Oryctolagus cuniculus: one gene and its partners. The protein of the gene in region 4 interacts with the protein of the main gene of each other region in a pairwise test. Links are inferred from orthologs where the notes say so. Each region holds a gene or a part of one and is shown on either strand. Other genes may lie near its edges.

Evidence for each region.
Region 1: the proteins of NUDT21 (region 4) and CEP126 interact in a two-hybrid assay, tested with the Homo sapiens proteins (2 studies listed by BioGRID and IntAct). The link is inferred for Oryctolagus cuniculus from reciprocal best matches to the Homo sapiens genes NUDT21 and CEP126.
Region 2: the proteins of NUDT21 (region 4) and MYL6 interact in binary tests that used the Homo sapiens proteins (3 or more experiments, as listed by UniProt). The two-hybrid records come from large-scale screens. The link is inferred for Oryctolagus cuniculus from reciprocal best matches to the Homo sapiens genes NUDT21 and MYL6.
Region 3: the proteins of NUDT21 (region 4) and RPLP1 interact in a two-hybrid assay, tested with the Homo sapiens proteins (2 studies listed by BioGRID and IntAct). The link is inferred for Oryctolagus cuniculus from reciprocal best matches to the Homo sapiens genes NUDT21 and RPLP1.

Annotation. Positions count from the first base shown.
Region 1 is NC_091432.1:93,340,892-93,345,970, reverse strand, and holds the start of CEP126 (centrosomal protein of 126 kDa), read right to left. Parts: upstream 3,218-5,079; 5' UTR 2,932-3,217; coding exon 2,804-2,931; intron 1-2,803. UniProt on the Homo sapiens protein: Participates in cytokinesis. Necessary for microtubules and mitotic spindle organization. Involved in primary cilium formation.
Region 2 is NC_091442.1:58,963,787-58,968,926, reverse strand, and holds the start of MYL6 (myosin light polypeptide 6), read right to left. Parts: upstream 3,112-5,140; 5' UTR 2,789-3,111; coding exon 2,786-2,788; intron 2,537-2,785; coding exon 2,509-2,536; intron 1,677-2,508; coding exon 1,533-1,676; intron 1,019-1,532; coding exon 845-1,018; intron 753-844; coding exon 675-752; intron 374-674; coding exon of another isoform or gene 345-373; exon of another isoform or gene 330-344; intron 1-329. Other genes in the region: myosin light chain 6B, read right to left, coding at 3,340-3,368, 3,489-3,566, 4,012-4,185, 4,393-4,536. UniProt on the Homo sapiens protein: Regulatory light chain of myosin. Does not bind calcium.
Region 3 is NC_091443.1:92,101,314-92,106,535, forward strand, and holds the start of RPLP1 (large ribosomal subunit protein P1), read left to right. Parts: upstream 1-1,853; 5' UTR 1,854-3,728; coding exon 3,729-3,800; intron 3,801-4,107; coding exon 4,108-4,182; intron 4,183-4,918; coding exon 4,919-5,036; intron 5,037-5,174; coding exon 5,175-5,222. Other genes in the region: kinesin-like protein KIF23, read left to right, coding at 792-807. UniProt on the Homo sapiens protein: Plays an important role in the elongation step of protein synthesis.
Region 4 is NC_091449.1:40,206,634-40,211,803, forward strand, and holds the start of NUDT21 (cleavage and polyadenylation specificity factor subunit 5), read right to left. Parts: upstream 3,212-5,170; 5' UTR 3,023-3,211; coding exon 2,907-3,022; exon of another isoform or gene 1,536-2,906; intron 1,152-1,535; exon of another isoform or gene 1-1,151. Other genes in the region: prolyl 3-hydroxylase OGFOD1, read left to right, coding at 3,437-3,590, 4,914-5,059. UniProt on the Homo sapiens protein: Component of the cleavage factor Im (CFIm) complex that functions as an activator of the pre-mRNA 3'-end cleavage and polyadenylation processing required for the maturation of pre-mRNA into functional mRNAs.

The DNA of each region.
Region 1 (5,079 bases), on a different chromosome or scaffold from region 4:
AGATAGGTCTGGGCATCTTAACTTACAAGGCCTAAAGCCCACCAGATTATTATTAAGTCCCTTCTGTCAGTTTCTATGTGTCTCTCAATCAGAAAATTTAGTTATGGCTTAGACAGCACCTTTCTTGAGTCCTCTAATAATGACTCTGTCCTTTGTTCTAGACACTGTCTAGCCTACTTGGGCCTCATTCCTTTGTAATAATAACCTCTACTCTAACATCAGTGGCTCTGCTCCCAACCTGTGTGTACTGATGGTCCTCTCCTCCACTTAATGTTGTATGATTATTCAGAATTTCTCTACAGACAAACCCCTCTACCTGCAAAAGTTGAGTGGCCTTTCTCCTGGTCTTGGCTGGGATTAGATTTAAACCATGTCCATCAAACAAACCTCACAAGGGTCCAGAGACCCCCCCCTCATTTCCTCTCCTCTATGAAATCTTCTCATTACCTGGTTAATGCCACTCTTAGGATCATTGGTTGTTATTCTCACCTTGACTTGTATACTACAGTGTCTGTTTAAGCGTTTACATCAGGTGATAATGGAATGAACCAAGGCCTTCAGCAACCAGTCAACCAGATGCTTCTCCATCCATACATGCCTGTCCCTGTGGAGTCCCAAGATACCCACAGCGGGCCCCTGTAGACAATGTCCCCAGTCAGCAGGAAGTAGCCAGAGAGACTCATCGTCACCCCTTTTCCTATCATCAAAAGGTCGGGATGGTAGCTTTGGGATCCACATGGAAGGAAGGCCTACACTTCTGGGAATGGAGAAGTCCCTACCTGTACTTCTGGGGAAGAAAAGTTCTTGTCAAGGTCCCTGCGGGGGCCTAAAGGTCAACCATTGAGGTTCAGACCCGCCTCAACCTTTAACCCCCATGCCCTGAATCTATAAAAGGAGCCCTCCCAACCTCTGATGCATGACTTCCCCGCCCCCGCTCTGTTGGGACTGGGGAATCTCGCCTGGGAGCGGAATCCCAATAAAAGCCTGTGAATTAATGATTCGATTCGTCTGCCTGGGAAGATTTGTTAAGCGCCAGACACCTTGCAATAAATACATTAAAAATGGTCACCTTAAATAAAAAAATTTAAAATAAATAAACCTAAAAAAGAAATGATAATTTACAACTTAACAATACATTTTGTCTTTATATTTTAAAGTATATATTTCTCTTTAGGAAACCATCATTATAATTCTGGAATAAAGCCTATTTGGTGTGTTCATTTGATGTACTGCTGAATTCCATGAGGGTTCTTCAAAAAGTTTGTCAAAAAGTAGAATTAAAAGATAATTTATTTTAGTGCATAAAGATAAAGGGTCATAAATATGCTGGTAAGTATAGAACATGTTGCCTTGAAATTCACTGAGCATCTACTGCTGGGGTCATGTTAGCAGAGACCTCATATTTATTATGTGAATGATAGCAGATTTTCCAGGAACTTTCTGTAGTCCCCTTATATTTACAAGTATTTTCTGTGGTGTTTGTATGTATTACATTGCATATACAATTTTATCTTTGATCATTTAATTAATGACAATAGTAGAAACACCTTGTCCACGAACCGTTTACCATGTCCCTGTTGATTTCATGATAAATCAGGTTCAGTGTAATAGGAGTTTGGTGTCCAGGAAAATACAATGTCACAAGGGCAAAGTCAAATGAATACAGAAAAATAACCCAGTTCATATCAGAGTATATTTTTGAGAGTAGCAAGTGCAAAAGTCAAACTCAGTGGAGTTATTTATGAACAGATGAGAGGAAGTAGAAGCTGCTATTGCAGGATATAATTTTGGAAACTTCACCAAAGAAATAGAAGGGATCGTACGTGCAGGAAATTATGCTCAGAAGAGGGATATTTTACTCTTAGTAAAACTCTGTACCTACCTCTCTTTTTTTATTAATTTATATCCCTAGAATCTAGAACAGAGCCTGCCAAAAAGCAGATAATCAATACAAATTGCTTACATGCTGTTAAAATTCCAACAGAGTTAAAAGGACATCCCAGAAAAAGTTGGAGACAATAGGGATAAGAAAATAAAGGTTACTTTGGAAAGAGAAGACAAGAATGAAGATGATTAGGCACTATTATCCCTGCCAACTAGTCCCCGGAGAATTCAAACGTTAAATTCTAATCATCACAACAGTCTCTGAAGGAATAAACATGGTTTGCAAACTGTGTAAACAAAACTCTTTCGCTTATCTACAAGGCAACCAACAGCAACATCAAAGTTGGCTTCAACTAAAAATGAGGGAAAAGTCCCAGGCAATCTGTTTTGGGAAGCTCGGGTCCCTTCCTTCTCATTTCTTCTCTGCTGTCTCTGTGACAACAGACTGCACAGGGAGAAAACAAAACAAATCACCAAGCAGGGCTAGGCTTCAGTAGCTCTGCTAAACAGATCTAGACGTGCTAGGTTAATTGTTCTCACGGATTCTTCAGGACAGCAAAACCTCCTTCTATTTTCCCACTTCTCTAAGTGGCACGATTAACCAAGAAGTGATTAATATGTAAGTAAAGAACATAAAGGCATCATTCTAGAAGGCAAAAATAACTCCTACAGAATACACGGTTTCTCTATTTGAAAAATCCCCGACATTTTACAAAGAAGTTGATGAATGGGGTAGGACAACAGGGCGGAGGGGGAAGGGGGCGCAGAACGGGATTAGGTGGGGGCAATGAGAACACCCGCATTAAGATGACTTGCTAATTTGCATCACCTGGCGGCCGCGGTCATGGGGAGTTATGGGGAAAACACCTGCCTCGTCGCCAACACCGCCACCCCGGCAGCCACAGGCTGGGAAGGATACAGGTAAGCGCCAGGTCGGTGACGCCCGCCGCTCTCTTGGGGGCTGAGGGGCGCTCTGCCGCAGGTGTCGGAGGAGTCAGTGCCCAGTCCTGGGACCGCGTTTCTGGCTCCCGGCCTCCCAGTCAGCATCCTTCACCTCAGCGCCACCTCCTCGCCAGCCCCTAGCGCCTCCCTCATAGCAGCTCCGGCTTCCTCGTCCTCGGCCCCTCCCCACAAGCCTTCTCTCAAGCCCCGCGTCACGGGCGCCGAAAGACTGGCCGCGGCAGCCCTGACTCCCACGCAGAGGCGCTCGTGACCGTGGTGGCGACAGCTGCTGCAACTGCGAAGACCTTGCCTGGCAATAGCAAAGGTGGCAGCAGTCTCCCAGCCGTCGCCATCTTGGTAACCAACCGACGCCGCGTCCTTCGCAACTGACACCAGGGCGGAGCGCGGCGCGGGGCGGAACGCGCGCTCGAGGCAGCCAATAGGAGGCGCCAGCGGCCGCGCCAGCCTTCAGCGGCCTGGCGGTCCTAGGGTAGAACCCGAGGCGTCCCCTGGGGCCGCATGTTTGCACTAGAACCACTGTGTTGCGCCTCAGGGCCTTCTACCTCCCGTTTCTTGAGGTTGTTTTTGTGGCAGTATAGAGAGGGATGGAAGACATTGGGACGCAAAATCCGTAGACCAGGCATCTGCCGCAGGGCAGATTCTGAAATCTCTGGGTTAATTAAGGGTCGGGTTTGTTGTTAACTACTGAATCCTGTGTGGGGTATCACTATTTCCAAACATCATCTCTTAAAAAAAAGCCTTTGTGCAGTGTAAGTTTGCGTTCCCTGCACTCATTTCACCCACTCGATGATGCTTCTGCCATTCTCTCTGTAGTCCTTTTCCTGGCCATCGCCCTGCTTCGAAGGCCTACATTTCAGATTTCTGGCCTTGCTGCCAGACTCTGGGAATGGGCCAATACAGCAAAGGCGGCCTGGAAAGGCGTCCAGACTTAAGCGCATAATTTCATGGGAGGATATACTAAGCCATTGTATTGAAATTGTTCCAGGAGTTAAGTTAAATGTATTTTTGAACCATGAATTTAAAGGCTATATAAATGAAAATTTGGAAAAAGGTTGAAACTTTTTGTTGGAGTCCAACATAAAAGCACTTCTGATTGTATTTTTATCTAGTTCTTTTTTTTTTCTTATGGAAAACTCCTGTTTGGAAGCAGAATGTACAGACCAAATAAAGATCACTTACCCACCATTCTCTCTGTCTTTGTGAATCAATGATTTCATTTTTAAACTGATAAGAGCAGATACTACACATGATCTTAGCCAAAAGGCCAAGAGACGATAATATTTTCATTTTTAGAGTTGAACTAATGAACTTTTCCAGCTAAAACTACTTAGAACCAAGTTTTTGTAAACTTGGATGCAATGACTCAAATTGGAATATGTTCTGGGGACTGAGATTTTAAAGTCCCACAACAAATTCAATTTTGATTTTAAGCACAAAACACACAAAAGTCCCTTTTAGGATTGTACCAAGAAGGTAGAATATATAATCCTGACAAAGAAAGACTAAACATGTACACTTGGACAATTCGCTATCATGGCAGGTTTTAAATTGATCTAGTTGCAGGCATTGTCCTTGATTCTATTCCTGCTATTAATATCACAACTCTGTCTCTCAGGATTTGTGAGTTGGCAAAGTAGGGCAATGCAAAATGCAAATAAAATGAGAAAATCATGGTTGCAGTTTGGAGTTTTTAGGCAATTTACGTTTTCCTGAAAATCTGGTTTTTGCTATATTATTAGTTGGTATCTTGTAACTATTAGCTACCTTATTGCTTGCTTTCATTGTGTTAAGAAACATGATTTTTAAAAAAGATTTATTTATTCTAAGAATAGAGTAATGGGGAATAGGGAGGAAGAGAGATCTTCCATTCACTAATTCACTCTTCAAAGGTCCACAACAGCTTGGGCTGACCAAGGTTGAAGCCAGGAGCAAGGAATTCCATCAGAGTTTGGCATATGGGTGGCAGGGACCCAAGTACTTGTGCCATCATCTGCAGTCTTCCAGGCATGTTAAGAGAAGTTAAATGGGGTCGGCGCCGTGGCTCAATAGGTTAATCCTCCGCCTTGCGGCGCCGGCACACCAGGTTCTACTCCCGGTCCGGGCGCCGGATTCTGTCCCGGTTGCCCCTCTTCCAGGCCAGCTCTCTGCTGTGGCCCGGGAGTGCAGTGGAGGATGGCCCAGGTCCTTGGACCCTGCACCTCATGGGAGACCAGGAGAAGCACCTGGCTCCTG
Region 2 (5,140 bases), on a different chromosome or scaffold from region 4:
AGGCGGCTCGCCCCTCCTGTGCCAACCACCATGCTCTAGGGCCAAAGGCTCACCCTAAAGCAAGACTGGTGTTTGGCTGCTGAGAGTTCCCAGTCACCAGCACCCAGGGCCCTGTAAGCGAAACTTCAGAGCCCGTTCCAGGTGTGAAGGAAGGAGGTACCATTCCCCCAGGCTGTCTTCCTCTTTGAGGACCCCTCCCCTCCTAGCCAGCTCCATGCAGGAACATGCCAGAAGTCAGATGGTAGTAAGGGTGAGGGCAGGGGCGAGAGCACAGGCTGGAGAGAGACACTGGGGCGATCAACTAGAGGAGAGGCTGGGAGGAGCCGTACCCGCCCCACGGCCCGTCACCCCGACAGGATATGCCTCACAAACGCTGCAGGAAGGAAGAGACATTCGTGGTGAAGACAAGACACGGACACGGGTGAAGGGTCAGGCGCTGGGGGACACACATCCCGTGGAGTCTACGTCCCCTTCCTTCCCCACTCTCCGTGCCACGTTCCCCCTTCCTTTCCTGTCATCCTCCCCCTGACCCTCTCCCCCAACCCCTGGGCTGGGCCAGGCCAAGCCCTGCCCTTTGCCTCCTGGCTCCTCTTGGAGCCCAAGTCCAGGGATATGAAAAACCCCAAGTCTTATCCCTAAGCTGACCCCTGTGACTGCCCCAGGTGACCCCTCACCTTCGTAGTTGATACAACCATTGCTGTCCTCGTGCCCTGCCACCAGCATCTCTACTTCCTCCTCTGTCATCTTCTCACCTGCAGAGGGAAGGAGGCATTTTTTAAGGTGGGTGACAAGTGAGGTCTCTCAGAGTGAGTAGGAGTAGCTCAGCTCAAGGACAGAGCCTTACCCAGTGTGACAAGGACATGGCGGATCTCAGCACCCATGACAGTGCCGTTCCCTTCCTTGTCAAACACCCGAAGGCCTTCAACGTAATCCTCATAGGTTCCCTGGTCCTTGTTCTTGGCCACAGTCTGCAGCATGGGCAGGAAGTGCTCAAAGTCCAGCACCTTCACATTCATCTCTGTCATAAAGGAAGCATGGGGACGTCAGGCCAGGAAGTCACACGAGCTCTCAGGAGGGAACTCTCAGGATCACAGTCAGCAAATGACTCCAGGGGTGGGAGGTGGGCGCTCTGGCCTAGCAGGTAGAGCCACTGCCTGCAACATCGACACCCCATATGGGTGTCAGTTATGTCCTGGCTGCTCCACTTCCAATCCAGCTCCCTGCTGTGGCCTGGGAAAGCAGCAGAAGACGGCCCAAGTGTGTGGGCCCCTGCACCCATGTGAGAGACCTTGAAGAAGCTCCTGACTTCATGGCTTCAGCCTGGCCCAAGCCTGGCTCTTAGCCATTTGGGAAGTGAACCAGCAGGTGGAAGATCTCTCTGTCTCTCCAACTCTTTCACATAAATACATCTTAAAAAAAAAAAAAAGACTCAGCAGGGGCAACCTGGGATTTCCTAATCGAGACAAGACTTGCTTGAGCTTGGGGCCTCTGAAGCTCTCAATTGGAGTGGGGCTGCTCTCTACGACCCTCACCGTCACTCTTGGGGTTCCCCAGGACCTTGAGCACCTCGGCGTTGGTGGGGTTCTGGCCCAGGGCCCTCATCACGTCCCCACACTGGCTGTACAGGATCTTGCCATCGCCTGTCCGGTCAAACAGCTGGAAGGCCTCCTTGAACTCTGAGGATTCAGATGAAGGTCAGTACTGGGGCCGTGGGGGTTAACCTGAACCCTGCCTTGGGAGGGCCCTGATCAAGCTGAGGAAACCAGATACCTCTACACTAAGTGTCCCAGGAGGGATCCATTTCTCCTCCCAACTCAAGTGTCCCACATGAAGAATCAGCCACCCGGTCCCCTTGGTGGTCTGCTAACATCCATGTGCACACACCCTCCGCCTGCAGCAGGCCTGCCAGCCTCCCGCTACTAAAACACTACTCAGGGCAGGAATTTGCCACCGCCCAGTCTGGGTCATGTCCTTATAAGGAAGTGGGAGCAACAGCCCAAGACCTGGGTCATCCCAGCTGGCCACTTCCACCATACAAAGACCTTAGCAGAGTAAAACTATAGTCACATCCTGGGCACACTCCCCTGTCCCCGACTTCAGGGAAATAATCAGGTCACTGCCCTTCACAATCTGCACGATTCAAGCCGGGGGTGGGGAGAGCAGGGAGGGAGAGTTAAAGGAGGAGAGAAGAGGCAGATGTAGTGATTAAGGGACAGCAGAGGCACGCAGACCCTCCCCAAACCCCACACACAGCAGGCACTAGGTGACCACATACCCACACCTAAAACTCACCCAGTGCTTGGGGCTCAGATCTAGAGTAGAAGGGGAGTGAGGAAGAAAGTGAGAAAAGGAAACAGAGGACCCGGAAGAAGGGAGAAGGGACTCCAGGGATACTCTCCCGAGGGTGGGGGTGGGGGGCGGTAAAGAGATAACAGTTTGGGGTTAGGAGCCAGAGGGAGTGTCCTTCTCCCTGAAGATGACCTCAGTTGGAGCCAGAGAATGACCTACCTGCCGTCTGGTCCTCGGTGAAGTCGCACTGCTCGGAGAAGAGGTAGCGGTCAGCACCCGAACTCCAACCTCCCCCCCCCCCCCGCCCCATGCTCCATCCCCGTCCCACAAACTCCTCTTGCAGGCTGGGGCTCCGCTCCCCAGCAGCACCAGGACCCCAGGCTTTCCAACCCACCCAGATCCCCTTCGCCCGCTACCCTGGCCTGCTCCTCGTCCCCTGCCCCCGGCTGCCCGCCTCGTCCCAAACCCCACTCGGCTCCCAGGCCCCGGGCCCCACCATCTTGACCGCTCAGCTCTGCGGGATCTTTTCCTGCAGTAATGGCTCCGGCTCCGGGCCCAACCCTAGTCTTAGTACGCCCTGATGACGTCACCCCGGGCCGGCCAGCCAATGGGCGCCCCGCCCCGGGCTCGGGCGGTTACATTACTGCATTAGTAATGAGACGGGCGGGGTCGCTCGCACCTGAGCCCGCAGACGCTCGAGCGGGTGGGGGGTCGGGCGCAGCGATCTGCTCCTCCTAACTCCCAGAACATCGGAGGATGAGGTACCGGGAAGTGGGGAAAGGCGTCACTCCCCTCCAACCCCACAAAGAAAACCAGTCTGAGACCGAGGAAGGAACCGTGTCTTTATTTTGAAACAATAGGTGGCCTCCTAGTGGCAGGAACGTGCTTCCTCCTGCAGGGGGTGGGGGGAATCAGTATCTGGCCCCGCGGGATCTGTGGGAAAAAAATGAAAGTTGCCAAGCTCTGACGCCCGCGCAGTCCGCGGCTTTCTGAGCTGGCGGGAGGCGGGGGAGACTCGGCCCTCAGGTCGCAGGGCCCTACCTGTAGAGCTCAGACGCTTAGGATGTGCTTCAGGAAAGCTGCGGAGAGAGGAGGCAGAGGGTCCTCAGACCCGGGCCTGCGGACACCGCGCCCGACTCTAGGTAACCCAGGGTGCGCCCAGCCGCCCCCGAAGGGCCCCTCCCGCCCCGGCCCCTCACCCTCGTAGTTGATGCATCCGTTGCTGTCCTCATGTCCCGCCAGGACAGTCTCCACCTCCTCCTCAGTCATCTTCTCTCCTGCACCCCAGACACGGCGGCGTTGGAGCCCCGCCCTGGCGCGGTCCCTCAGGGGCCCAAGCCACACTCTTCTGGGTGGCACCTCTTATCCCACCCTGGAGACTTGCTCGGAGCCACTCCCCCCAAGGACATCCTCCCGCTGTCGCGGTAAAGCCTCTTGTTTTGCATCTCGACTCGTAACAAAGTGCCTTGCTACTGATGGGAGTTTCTAGGGACAAGGGAACTGACTCCCAGGGGTGACGGGCACACGTCTCCCACTTGTCTCCCGTTCTCTGCCCTGTGGGAGGCACGTTAGCCTCTGGAAGCGCCAGCCCTTCAGGTCCTGTCCCCAGCCCTTCCATCTCCTGCCCAGCAGGGCAGTAATCCTCTCCCTGGCTCTGCCTACCCTGGTCCACTGCTCCCCCACTCCCCCACCAGCCCTCATAGAATTCTGTCCCTGCCTCACCCAGGGTGGTGAGGACGTGTCTCAGCTCTGCTCCCATGACTTTGCCGTTTCCCTCCTTGTCAAACACCCGAAGCCCCTCCAGGTAGTCATCGTAAGAGCCTTGGTCCCGGTTCTTGGCCACTGCCTGGAGCATGGGCAGGAAGGTCTCAAAGTCCACACGCCGGGACTTCAGCTCTGGCGGTTGGAGGGAAGCATGAGACAGGTCAGTGTGATGTCGCCGGGGCCCCTCCCACACCACCTTTCATCGTGCTCAGCATTCGGGATGTTTTTCTGCCTGGTGTCTGACGGTTTCTCAGGTCCCGAGATCCAGCCCAGCATCCTTTGTCACCTTACCGACATCTAGCCACAGAAAAACCTGCGTTGTCCCAAGGATCCCCTCACCGTCACTCTTGGGGTTCCCCAGGACCTTGAGCACCTCGGCGTTGGTGGGGTTCTGGCCCAGGGCCCTCATCACGTCTCCACACTGGCTGTACAGGATCTTGCCATCCCCTACTCGGTCAAACAGCTCAAAGGCCTCCTTGAACTCTGGGGGACACAAGGAGGGATCACTGTAGTCCAGGACTCCCATCACTCCCAGACAGAGGCAGGCTCAGCAACTATGTGTGACAGCTGGGAAGAGCCAGGGAGGAAAAAAGAACTATGTGGCAGGCTTCAAGGTCAGGGCCGGGGTTAGGGGAACAGCAAGAGGATCTGACCGGGGCCTTGGGACTGGACAGTGGCTCAGGAAACCAGCTTCTCCTCACCCTCCAGCTGATCCTTGTTAAACTCGATCTGTGGAAGAGAGCAGGTGAGGAGAGATGACGAGGATTATGCAGTCCCTCTGAGCCTCCTCCCCACCAACTGGCAGCCACCTCTGTCCCATTCCCAGCCTTAGGCCTTGGGAGAATCCCAAGAGGAGGAATTACAGGGGGGAGGGTTTCCTGGGAACAGGGTTAATCCCATGCCACCTGTTCCCCTCCCTCCACTGCCCTGAGCCCTGCATCCCTCACATAACTGGGGGCTGAACAAAGGCTAAATTTACCCCTGGCCCCCAGCTGTGATTGTCTAACAAGTCTGCCCTCTTCAGCCTCCCCTCCTGGGGTTCAGAGCTGCAGCCAGAGGCAGGGAACAGCTCTCTCCCTTCACCTTG
Region 3 (5,222 bases), on a different chromosome or scaffold from region 4:
GCAAGGGCGGCGCTGGCCCTGTCCTGCCAGCGCTCCTGCAGGGAGTTGTGCACAACAGCCTTGTGTTCCCTCTCCTGACCTGCCAGTGCCGGCTGAGATCAGTGCAGCTGAGCCGCAGGACGTACGGTGTGATGGGGCCACACTTCGTCTTCTATGAAACTCAAACACTGGATTTCCTTGACATAGTGGAAACCCCTTCTTTGCAAATATCTGCCTGTGTACTATTTTTTTTTTTTTTTTAAGATTTATTTTGTTTATTTGATAGAGTTAGAGAAATAGAGAGAAAGCTCTTCCTTCTGCTGGTTTACTCTCTAAATGGCTGCAATGGCCGGAGCTGAGCTGATCTGAAGCCAGGAGCCAGGAGCTTCTTCCGGGTCTCCTGCATGGGTGCAGGGACCCAAGCACTTGGGCCATCTTCTACTGCTTTCCCAGGCACATCTGCAGAGGAACTGCAGTGGAAGTGGAGCAGCTGGGACTTGAACCGGCACCTGTATTGGATGCTGGCCCTGCAGGATAGGCTTTAGCCTACTGTGCCATAGCACCAGCCCCTGTGCAGTATTTTTAGCTCTTGTATTCCTTAGGCAGTTTGGAAAATGGTTGGGACAGGAGAAAGATGGGAGGTCCTGTGGTCTACATGTAACACTAGATAAGCGTATCTTACATGCTGTTTCCTTTCTCAGGACTTGAGTTTTCCCATGATAAACAGAGCTCAAAGCCCTACAAAAGATTTCTTTTACTACAAAGGGGTCACCAATTGCAAATTCCACACTAAATGTTGGGTTTGGTTTTAGGCGCAAGAAGCCATGAACAAGACAGCCCCAGTAGCGGCAGAGCGTCGTCACTGTTGCTGGTGACTGCTCCGAAGCCACGGAGAGCAGCCTCCTGCGGCCTCGCTGGACGTCCCAGACCTCAGCCCTGTCAGACACTGGCCTAGAGCAGCGCTTCCCTGATGGTTCCAAAGACACGCAGCAGTCAGCAGACCTTGTATATTATGTGCCTCACCGTATTTAATATTCCCAGCAGAGCAAGACCCCGGGCTCATTGCTGTATGGACTTTTTATAATGCTGTTTCTTGTATATTTCTTATGGACTTATAAACTAATTCACACAGCTGTTTGTCTTGGTATAATTAAGGTAATATCTAGATCACGCTTCGTTTTTTATTGTGACTTCTCCAGCTCTGGTCTGAGTATTTCTTGGGTTTTATAAACGAAACAAATGCTGCTATTGATTAGCTGCAAGAATGCACTTTAGACATATTTGACAATTGAAACTTTCAAAATAAAGATATCGGGACTGGCCCATAATAAAACCATTTTCAGAAGGTGTTTTGCATTTTGTATATATATACTCACTTTCTGACATTTAGATATGCCAAAAGAATTGAAATAAAAAGCACTCAGAACCACAGAGGTGTGATGGTCATTCATTTCACACACACACTAGCCGCAGCAAGCACGCGTCTCGCTTTCACCTGGCACTCTTCCTTGTGAACTGAATGAGAAGAAAGCCCTGGAAAATGCCCACGGGAAGTAATCTGTTAAATGGGAAATGCCTTTTTTGTCTGACAACCATAATTCCTACAGAATAAGTGCGCTCTCCCAGACATTTAAACAGAAAACACAGTTTGGCACAAAACAGAAAGCACTGTGGAAAATCCTGGTGAAATAGCTATTCTTGCCTGAGTGAGCCTGTTTGCTTGTTAAGTTTGCATTTCTTTTAAGGCTGAACTTTTTAACATGATAGTTTGTGCATTTTTAAAATCAATATTGAAAGGATGATATTAGTCCTGACCAAAAGCAGTTTCAAAGGCTAAGGAGAAAGACAATCCACGTGTCACTCAAAGTGTAATAGGAAAATTACATGTATTTTTAGAATGCTTCCTATTTCAGTAGAAACTCCAGGATTTTTCACTTATTTCAGAGGCAGAGAGGATTCTCAGGTACTTGTTCTGTCACCTGTTGCCAACCAATCCACTTTGGATTTGTAAAACTATAGTTCTGACACTGCCAAGTTCCCATGAAGGTGCGTTTTTTGGGTTTCTATTCTATTCTGATCCATGCATCTCTAGGCATCCCAGTAACACTTTGAAACATTGATCTAATATATACTTGCGCATCTTCTATGTGCCATGTTTTGGGCACAGGGATTGCAGTGGTGAAGTTTGTGTTCTTGGATTTTAATTAAGTCTGTCTGCTTTAAAAAATCGTCCTGGTTATTACTGGCCTTTGATCCTTACATTTAAAATTTAAGGTCAGCTTGTCAGATTCTATTGAAAACCTTAATGGAATTTTGATTGAAGTTACATCATTAGAATTATCGACTGTAGGATCGTCCCATCATTCTTCTAAGGTTGCCTTTGATGGTCCATAAGGTTTTTAAATTCATTGATCTGAAACGCAGAGTTACAGAGTGACATCTTCCATCCACTGGTTCACTCCACCAATGGCCACAACCGCAAGGGCAAAGGCAGCCAAAACCAGGAGCCAGGAGCTGCAGGGTCTCCGCGTGGGTCCAGGGGCGCAAATACTTGGGCCATCTCGCTTCTTTCGCAAGGAGCTGGATGGGGAGTGGAGGAGCCTGGACTCAACCAGGGCTCAGGGGTGCGGATGCCACCACAAAGGTGGCCTCTTCATAGTTTTCAGATTTTAAAAATGATGGTCACGGGGCCGGCACTGTGGCATAGTGGGTAAAGCTGCCACCTGCAGTGCCGGCATCCCATATGTGCGCTGCTCCACTTTCCATCCAGCTCTCTGCTGTGGCCTGAGAAGGCAGTAGAAGACGGTCCAAATGCTGGGCCCCTGCACTCGTGGAGGAGACCTGGAAGAAGCACCCGGCTCCTGGCTTTGGTTTAGCACAGTTCCAGCTGAAGTCAGGAGCCAGGTGCTTCTCCTGGTCTCCCATGCGGGTGCAGGGCCCAAGCACCTGGGCCATCCTCCACTGCACTCCCGGGCCACAGCAGAGAGCTGGCCTGGAAGAGGGGCAACCGGGACAGAATCCGGCGCCCCGACCGGGACTAGAACCCGGGGGTGCCGGCGCCGCAGGCGGAGGACTAGAACCCGGGGTGCCGGCGCCGCAGGCGGAGGATTAGCCTAGTGAGCCGCGGCGCCGGCCCCCAGTAAGGTTTTGATGGGCACCCTTTACTAGGATATGGAAGTTAGCCTTTATGTTTCCCACTTTCCAAGGCTCTGGGGAAACAGCTGTTGGGTTTCAGCGTGGTTTCTCTGACTGAAAGTTTTCGGAGACGTCGCTCCTTAGTTCGCTGGTGTAAGATTTTCACGATATATACCCTGGGTATTAATTCACCGAAGGGCCGGGACCCGGCTCAAACGCTCTCACACCGGTGCGGGGCGCAGTCAGCCGCGCCTGGATCCAGTGAGCATGTTCCCTCTTCCTAAACGCCGTCCCGGTTCGCCAGACCCACGCTTCGGCCAGGTCCGGAGAGCCGGCATCTCGCAGCGGCGGACAAACTCCCACAACGAGCTCCGCGCACAGCGCAGGCGCGTACGTCACCCCCCCTCCGTCCCGCCCCTTCCGCCCTGCACGGGCGCCGATTGGCTCGAGCGGCCGTATAAGAAGTTGTGCGCAGGCGCACAGCCCCCTTTCCTCAGCTGCCGCCAAGGTGCTCGGTTCTTCCGAGGAAGCTAAGGCCGCGTTGGGGTGAGGCCCTCACTTCATCCGGCGACTAGCACCGCGCCCGGCAGCGCCAGCCCCACCAGCCCCGCACCATGGCCTCCGTCTCCGAGCTCGCCTGCATCTACTCCGCCCTCATCCTGCACGACGACGAGGTGACCGTCACGGTGAGTGCGGGGCGGCCGGTCCACGCGGTCCCGGCGTCCCTTCCGGCGCGGCGGGCGGGCGGGCCGGCCCCGTGCTGGGCCGCGGGCGGGCGGGCCCCCGCGCTGGGAGGCATGGGGGCGGCACGGGAGCCCTGCTCGGCGCCCCCGGCCTGGCCGCGTGACCCGGGAAGCCCTGGCAGAGCCCGGGCTCGGGGCGCGTCGCGTCGCTGGTGGCGGGCGCGGGTTGGAAGTGGGCGTCCGGGGGGGAGCGGGGAGCGTGGCTGTGCCCCCGGTGGTGCCCCGCTAGCCGGCGCTCTGTCGGTTTCAGGAGGACAAGATCAACGCCCTCATTAAAGCAGCTGGCGTCAACGTGGAGCCCTTCTGGCCTGGCTTGTTCGCGAAGGTAAGGCCGACTGGACCAGGTCAGGAGCGCTTGTCCCTACGCCCCAGCCCCCTAAGTAAGCTCCGGCTGGTCAGACCCGGCTCTTCGTTCCTTATCAGAAAGCGAGAGGAGCGCTTGCTTTCCCGGACTCCCGTGGGGCGCTGGGCTTTGCCGGCCGCCCGTGTTCCAGGCCGATGGAGACGGGGCCCCTGGCCGGAGCTGGTGCAGGCCGCTGAAGGCTAATAATAGCCTTGGAAGGCTCTCGTTGGCCTGTGTGCTGGGGTTTCGCAAGAGTGACAGTATGCACCCGGGTCAGCTTTTAGTAAATCCCCCTTTGAAAATGGCCCAGGCGGCCAGCAGTCTGAAATAGGGAATTCTGGGAAGCGCACGCCGGCCGCAGAACGTGCAGGAGTCTTTAGTTGCTTCAGGACGCCTGACTGCTGACAGGTTACTCGGGGCCGGTTGTCCCGTGTGTAGGAGAGGAGGAGTGCGGGTAACTGGCCCCTAGTGCTGCGCACGCGCAGTGCAAGCGCCGTGAGAGGGCTGGAAAGCTCAGTGGTTACTTGTGACAGCTTCAGTACAGCAGTGTGCCTCGCCTGGAATCTTAATCAACAAGAGAAGTCACTGTTGGGAGGGAAAGATAAGCTGCTTGATGCCCTGGGCGGACACCGTGCAGGTGTGGTTCCAGCCGCTGGGAGTCGGAGGCGGCTTTTTATCCTTTCCCTGAGTGCTGTATAATGCTGCGTGTGTGTTTCAGGCGCTGGCCAATGTCAACATTGGGAGCCTCATCTGCAACGTAGGGGCCGGGGGCGCTGCTCCAGCCGCTGGCGCCGCTCCGGCAGGAGGCCCTGCACCCGCGGCCGCCGCCGCCCCAGGTAGGCAGCGGGTGTGCGGGGCGGGTGGGGGGTTGACAGGGGAGTTGGTGATGGGCGGCTTCCTGCGGCGGGGGTGCCGTGGGTGCTCGCGGAGCCTGGGTCCGGAGCAGCGGGACTGACGCGGTCTCTCCTTTCCAGCTGAGGAGAAGAAGGTGGAAGCCAAGAAGGAAGAATCTGAGGAGTCTG
Region 4 (5,170 bases):
AACTTGAGTAATAACACCTGGGCCACACTTGCTATTTGCAAGGTTATCTTCTCTATTAAAAGCCCTTGATAGGGACCAGCACTGCGGCATAGTGGATAAAGCTGCTGTCTCCAGTGCCCGTATCCCATGTGGCCACCGGTTTGAGTCCCAGCTGCTCCACTTCTGATCTAGCTCTCTGCTGTGGCCTGGGAAAGCAGTAGAGGATGGCCCAGGTCACTGTGTCTTTGTACCCTCGTGGGAGACCCAGAGGAAGCTCTATGGCTCCTGGCTTTAGATCAGTGCAGCTCCGACCGTGGTGGCCATCTGGGGAGTGAACCAGCAGATGGAAGACCTCTCTGTCTCTGCCTCTCCTCTCTCTGTGTAACTCTGCTTTTCAAACGGAGGCGGGGGGGGAGCCCTTGATATTAATAGTCAACCACTACATACCTAGTCTGCTCACATACCTAATCTACTCACCTCCTCTTGAAGGGTAAATAAGTCAAAGTTGCCAACTCAAGAGAACTCCAGGGTGGAGGGCAGGGGACAGCACTGTGGCACAGGTTAGGTTGCCACTTGTGATTCCTGCTCCACTTCCTATCCAGCTTCCTGCTAATATGCCCAGGAAACCAGTGAAAGATGGTCCAAGTACTTGGGCCTTTGCCACCCATGTCGGAGAACAGAATGAAGTTCCTGGCTCAGACCTAGCTATTGCAGCCACTTGAGGAGTGAACCAATGGATTGAAGATCAATCTCACTCTCTCTCTTTGAAACAAATAAACAAAAGTTGAAAATAAAGAACCTTCCCCAGCAGACCCAAGGCTGAATCTAACAGAGTCCTCGGTAGCAGCAGCAGTTACCTCACAGGTACCTCACGCTTGTAAGTGAAATGAAATCTAGCATTATCTGCCAGGCAAGTCTATTCACTTAGTTCTCACAACTGGAGTCAGAAAGAACTAATAAGGACAGTGATAACATACTCCTAGTCCAACAGCCAGCTCCCACATCAGTAAGATGCCATCAAGATGAAATGCTTGAATCTTCAGCTGTGAGATGAAAATCTACCACCCCAGACTCCTAACACCGTGACTTTCCTCATGTTCACATACCCAGTGCTATGCACAGGACTCGTTATCAAGTAGGTGTTCATGCAGTGTTTCCTAAATGAAGATATACTAGGGGAAGAGAGATTTGTTTTCTTTTTTTTTTTTTTTTTTTTTTTTTTTTTTTTTTTTTTTGACAGGCAGAGTGGATAGTGAGAGAGAGACAGAGAGAGAAAGGTCTTCCTTTGCCGTTGGTTCACCCTCCAATGGCCGCTGCTGCAGCCGGCGCACCGCGCTGATCCTGGCAGGAGCCAGGAGCCAGGTGCTTTTCCTGGTCTCCCATGGGGTGCAGGGCCCAAGCACCTGGGCCATCCTCCACTGCACTCCCTGGCCATAGCAGAGAGCTGGCCTGGAAGAGGGGCAACCGGGACAGAATCCGGCGCCCCAACCGGGACTAGAACCCGGTGTGCCGGCGCCGCAAGGTGGAGGATTAGCCTATTGAGCCACGGCGCCGGCTTGAGAGATTTGTTTTCTATATAATGCCTCACCCAGGTGAACTGAAGTTCACGACACAATGATTATTTCTGAATACAGCATTTATACAGAACAAAAGTACTGTAAATCAACTCACAACTTTAATGAAGTGAAGAGTAAAACATCTCATTGAAAGCACCATCATCTCACCAAGTTAATTCTACATAATGGCTTCATGCAAACTGATCCGGTAATCAAAGCAAATCCAGAAAAACTGTGGGATCCTAGTTCTGATCACCACTGAAAGCAACGTAGAAGCTGTGCTTTCCCACTCTAAAGAACACTTGTCTTCTCAACTTCCTGGGACTCTTATAAGGGAACTGAAACGAAATTACTAACTAGTATGTACTTGAATGTAACAGTTGCAAGGATAGTTTGTATGCACACAGCTATCAACTAATTCCAAATTCTATAAACCTCACATTTCTATTATCTACATCTCAAGCCAAATAAAACAATGATAGAACCATCTAATTCCAATTCGCTTTTGCTTTTGAGGGGGAAATTCATTTATTTGACTATAAAACAGAGAAACATTTAAAGTGTTTCCCCCATAAACATCAGTCTTGGCAAATCCTTGCACTCTAAGTATTTTGAAAATTTGTACCTATACATAAATACTGACCAGCTCGAACTGGCCACTTGCCTGACCACTGTCAGCACCACGCTGCCTCACTCTCTCTCAGCACAATGCCAATTTCTTGATCAAGATCACAAACGCCAATGACCTACTACAGCGAGACTGCTTCTGAGGACTCTGAAGTGCTCAAAAATAAAGCACAGCCCACAACGGGTTCTCGGGGGCGTAACTCTGGTTCTCTCACGGTCTAAAAACCCACACACGGCATCCACACTCCCAAGCTGGAGCCCTCGGTGTCTGGGACGCTATGGCAGAGAAGGCATGTGAACGCATAGGGCAGGTGAGCTAGCTCTGAGCAGATGACTAGAAATGTGGTGTATTCACACACCGAAATACCATACGACACTTAAAGGTCCGAGCTAGATCTCGAAAGCCTAGGTGCGAACCAAGCATAAACACTGGACCGGAAGGGGGGAAAAGCACACTTTTAATTCGTTACCTCTGGAGAGGTGAGGAAAGGAATTAAAGCGAACTTTGCTTTTACCAATAACTGGCCATAAGCGGATGAGAACAAGTCTCCCTGCCAGAAGTGAAAAATCCTTCCAAGCAAGGTTCTAACCCCTTGGGACTGGAAGACGCGCCAGGGACCTGTGGGGATGAGCAAGGCTCGCGGGGCTAGGGGCCCGCCGACCCGGGGCGCGCCGGAAGAAGAGCCTTTAGCAGCACTGACCGGGGCGAGCCCAGGCTGCGCGCGAAGGCCAGGCCGCACTTACAGGTTGATGGTGCGCTCCAGGGTGAGGGGCTTGGTCTGCTGGATGTACTTGTTGCCGAACTGATTGACCCCGCGGGGCCAGCCGGTCTGCGAGCGATTGGGCGGTACCACCGACATGCTGGCAACCTCTGACTCTGGTGGTGAGCAGAAATCGGGAGGTGAGGGAAATTTTTTCCCCCCGTGCGGGCAGCGGTTATCTGCGACCCGCTCAGTAGCCGCCGCCCGCCATTAACATGAGAGCGCAAGAGGAGGCGTACGCACGCCGGAAGTGAATCCTGGGCCTCTGGCGGCAGGAAGTTGAGAGGCGGAGGCCTGCCTGGCCAAGCGCTACTGGGCCAATCGCTAGTGAGATGGCCGCAATATACAGCGCTCCCATTGGTAAGTCAGGGATAGGTTCCGCCTCCTTTAGATTGGGTTCTTCCCGATGGGTAGTGCTGGAGAACACGGGAACTGAGGCATTCTGGGAATTGTAGTCGCCGTGGGGAAGTAGGTGCTTGGTCAGTGTGGCGTGAGACTGTATCTTGTTAGGAGATGAATGGGAAACGGCCTGCTGAGCCCGGCCCGGGCCGCGTGGGGAAAAAGGGAAAGAAGGAGGTGATGGCGGAGTTTTCGGAAGCTGTCACGGAGGAAACCTTGAAAAAGCAGGTGGCTGAAGCCTGGAGTCGCAGGGCGCCGTTCAGTCACGGTAACTGGGGGTTATGACGGCTGAGGCGCCGAGCGGGGGGTCTGAAGCAAAGCCCTGGGCAGCCGGGGCCACGAGGAACCGGGAGAACTTTGGCCGCCTCCGACCCTCCTCCCTCGGCTGCCACTCCTTTTCATTCTAGATTCAGTTTGGATTTAGAAACGCGAAAGAGGAGGAAACGTAGGCCGGAGAGTTTGGGAAAGTAGAGGGCCTGCGAGTCGGCGATTATGGATTCAACTTTTTTAAACTTGAATTCCTTCTTATGTAAAAGGGGCTAATCGCGTTTACCTCGGAGAGATGCCGAATGGAATTAGTAAAACCAGGCACTTACTTCTTCGGTAAACATTCCAACACCTGCTCGGGTGGCCCGGGTGAGCGCGGCGGCCCCTTGGGGTTCCAGCCTGGGCATTTGTGGGGGGCTGCCGAGAGAGCAGGCGCCTGCGCTTAACCCATTTTAACGTGGTTTGCTGCCTGACCTAGGAAAATACACAGGAAGGAAGATTGCAGTCTCAGCTTCAGACGTCGCCTTAGAGCCTAGAACCCTGCTGACTGTCACGTGCTCCCTGGGAGAGTTGACCGTGGTTTCTGTTTTCCTTGTTAAGTGCTTTGAAGAGGCGTGTGGGGTGCCCTGGCTGCACTGGATGGTGATAGCTGAGTGTTTTGTGCGAGCTCCGAACGCTCAGGCGTCTCAGTTTCCTCGTCTAGAAGATGGGTATAGGGATAACGCCTACTGAGTTGCTGAGATTAAATGAGATAATACACCTAAACCACGTGGGTCTGGCTTGTAGTAGCTGAGTGGTGGTGATTAAGGGGCCATTCACAGTCCAGCCCGGCGGAGGCAGTGGGTAAAATGCTGGGATAGAAATTAAGGAACTAGAGGAGGTTATGCCTTACCTGGTGGGGGAGGGAGGTGGGGAGGACTCCTGTGTAAGGACTTCCTTGACAATAACTGGAGGAAAAATAAAGCAGGGCTAAAGAGGAACTGCCAGCCAGTGTTGCTACTCTTATTAGCTACTGCTATTTTAATATTGGGGGAAGTGAATTAAAAATCTAACATACATTCAATTCAGTAAGTAATTGAAACTCAGAAAAAGGACAGAATCCTTGGTTGGCCGACATCACCTGTACTTATCTTAAGGACAAGTATTTTTAAATATTATATTTTTTTAAAAATAGCATTGAGTAGATAAAGAAAAGCTGAACTTAGCGATTCTTCCTCTAAATCTTAGAATTTAGGTGTTAGGTTCCCAAAACTTCATGACCATCGTCTTTTGTATTCCCTCTACTGTGTTAAAAAAGCCATATATGGTGTTTTCCTTCCAACAGAAGCCATTGTCATGGATGTGGACCCCTTTCTTCACTGTGTGATCCCAAACTTCATCCAAAGCCAAGACTTCTTGGAAAGGCTTCAGAAGGAACTTTTGAACTTGGACTTCCACGAGAAGTATAATGATTTATATAAGTTCCAACAGGTATTTTTGTGTTCAACTTGAATTTTTGCTCTTCTCCCTCAGAAACTTATTATCTATAAAAGACTTATGTACATTTCAGACTGAGTTTGCCTTAGAAGGTCCTCATGTTGG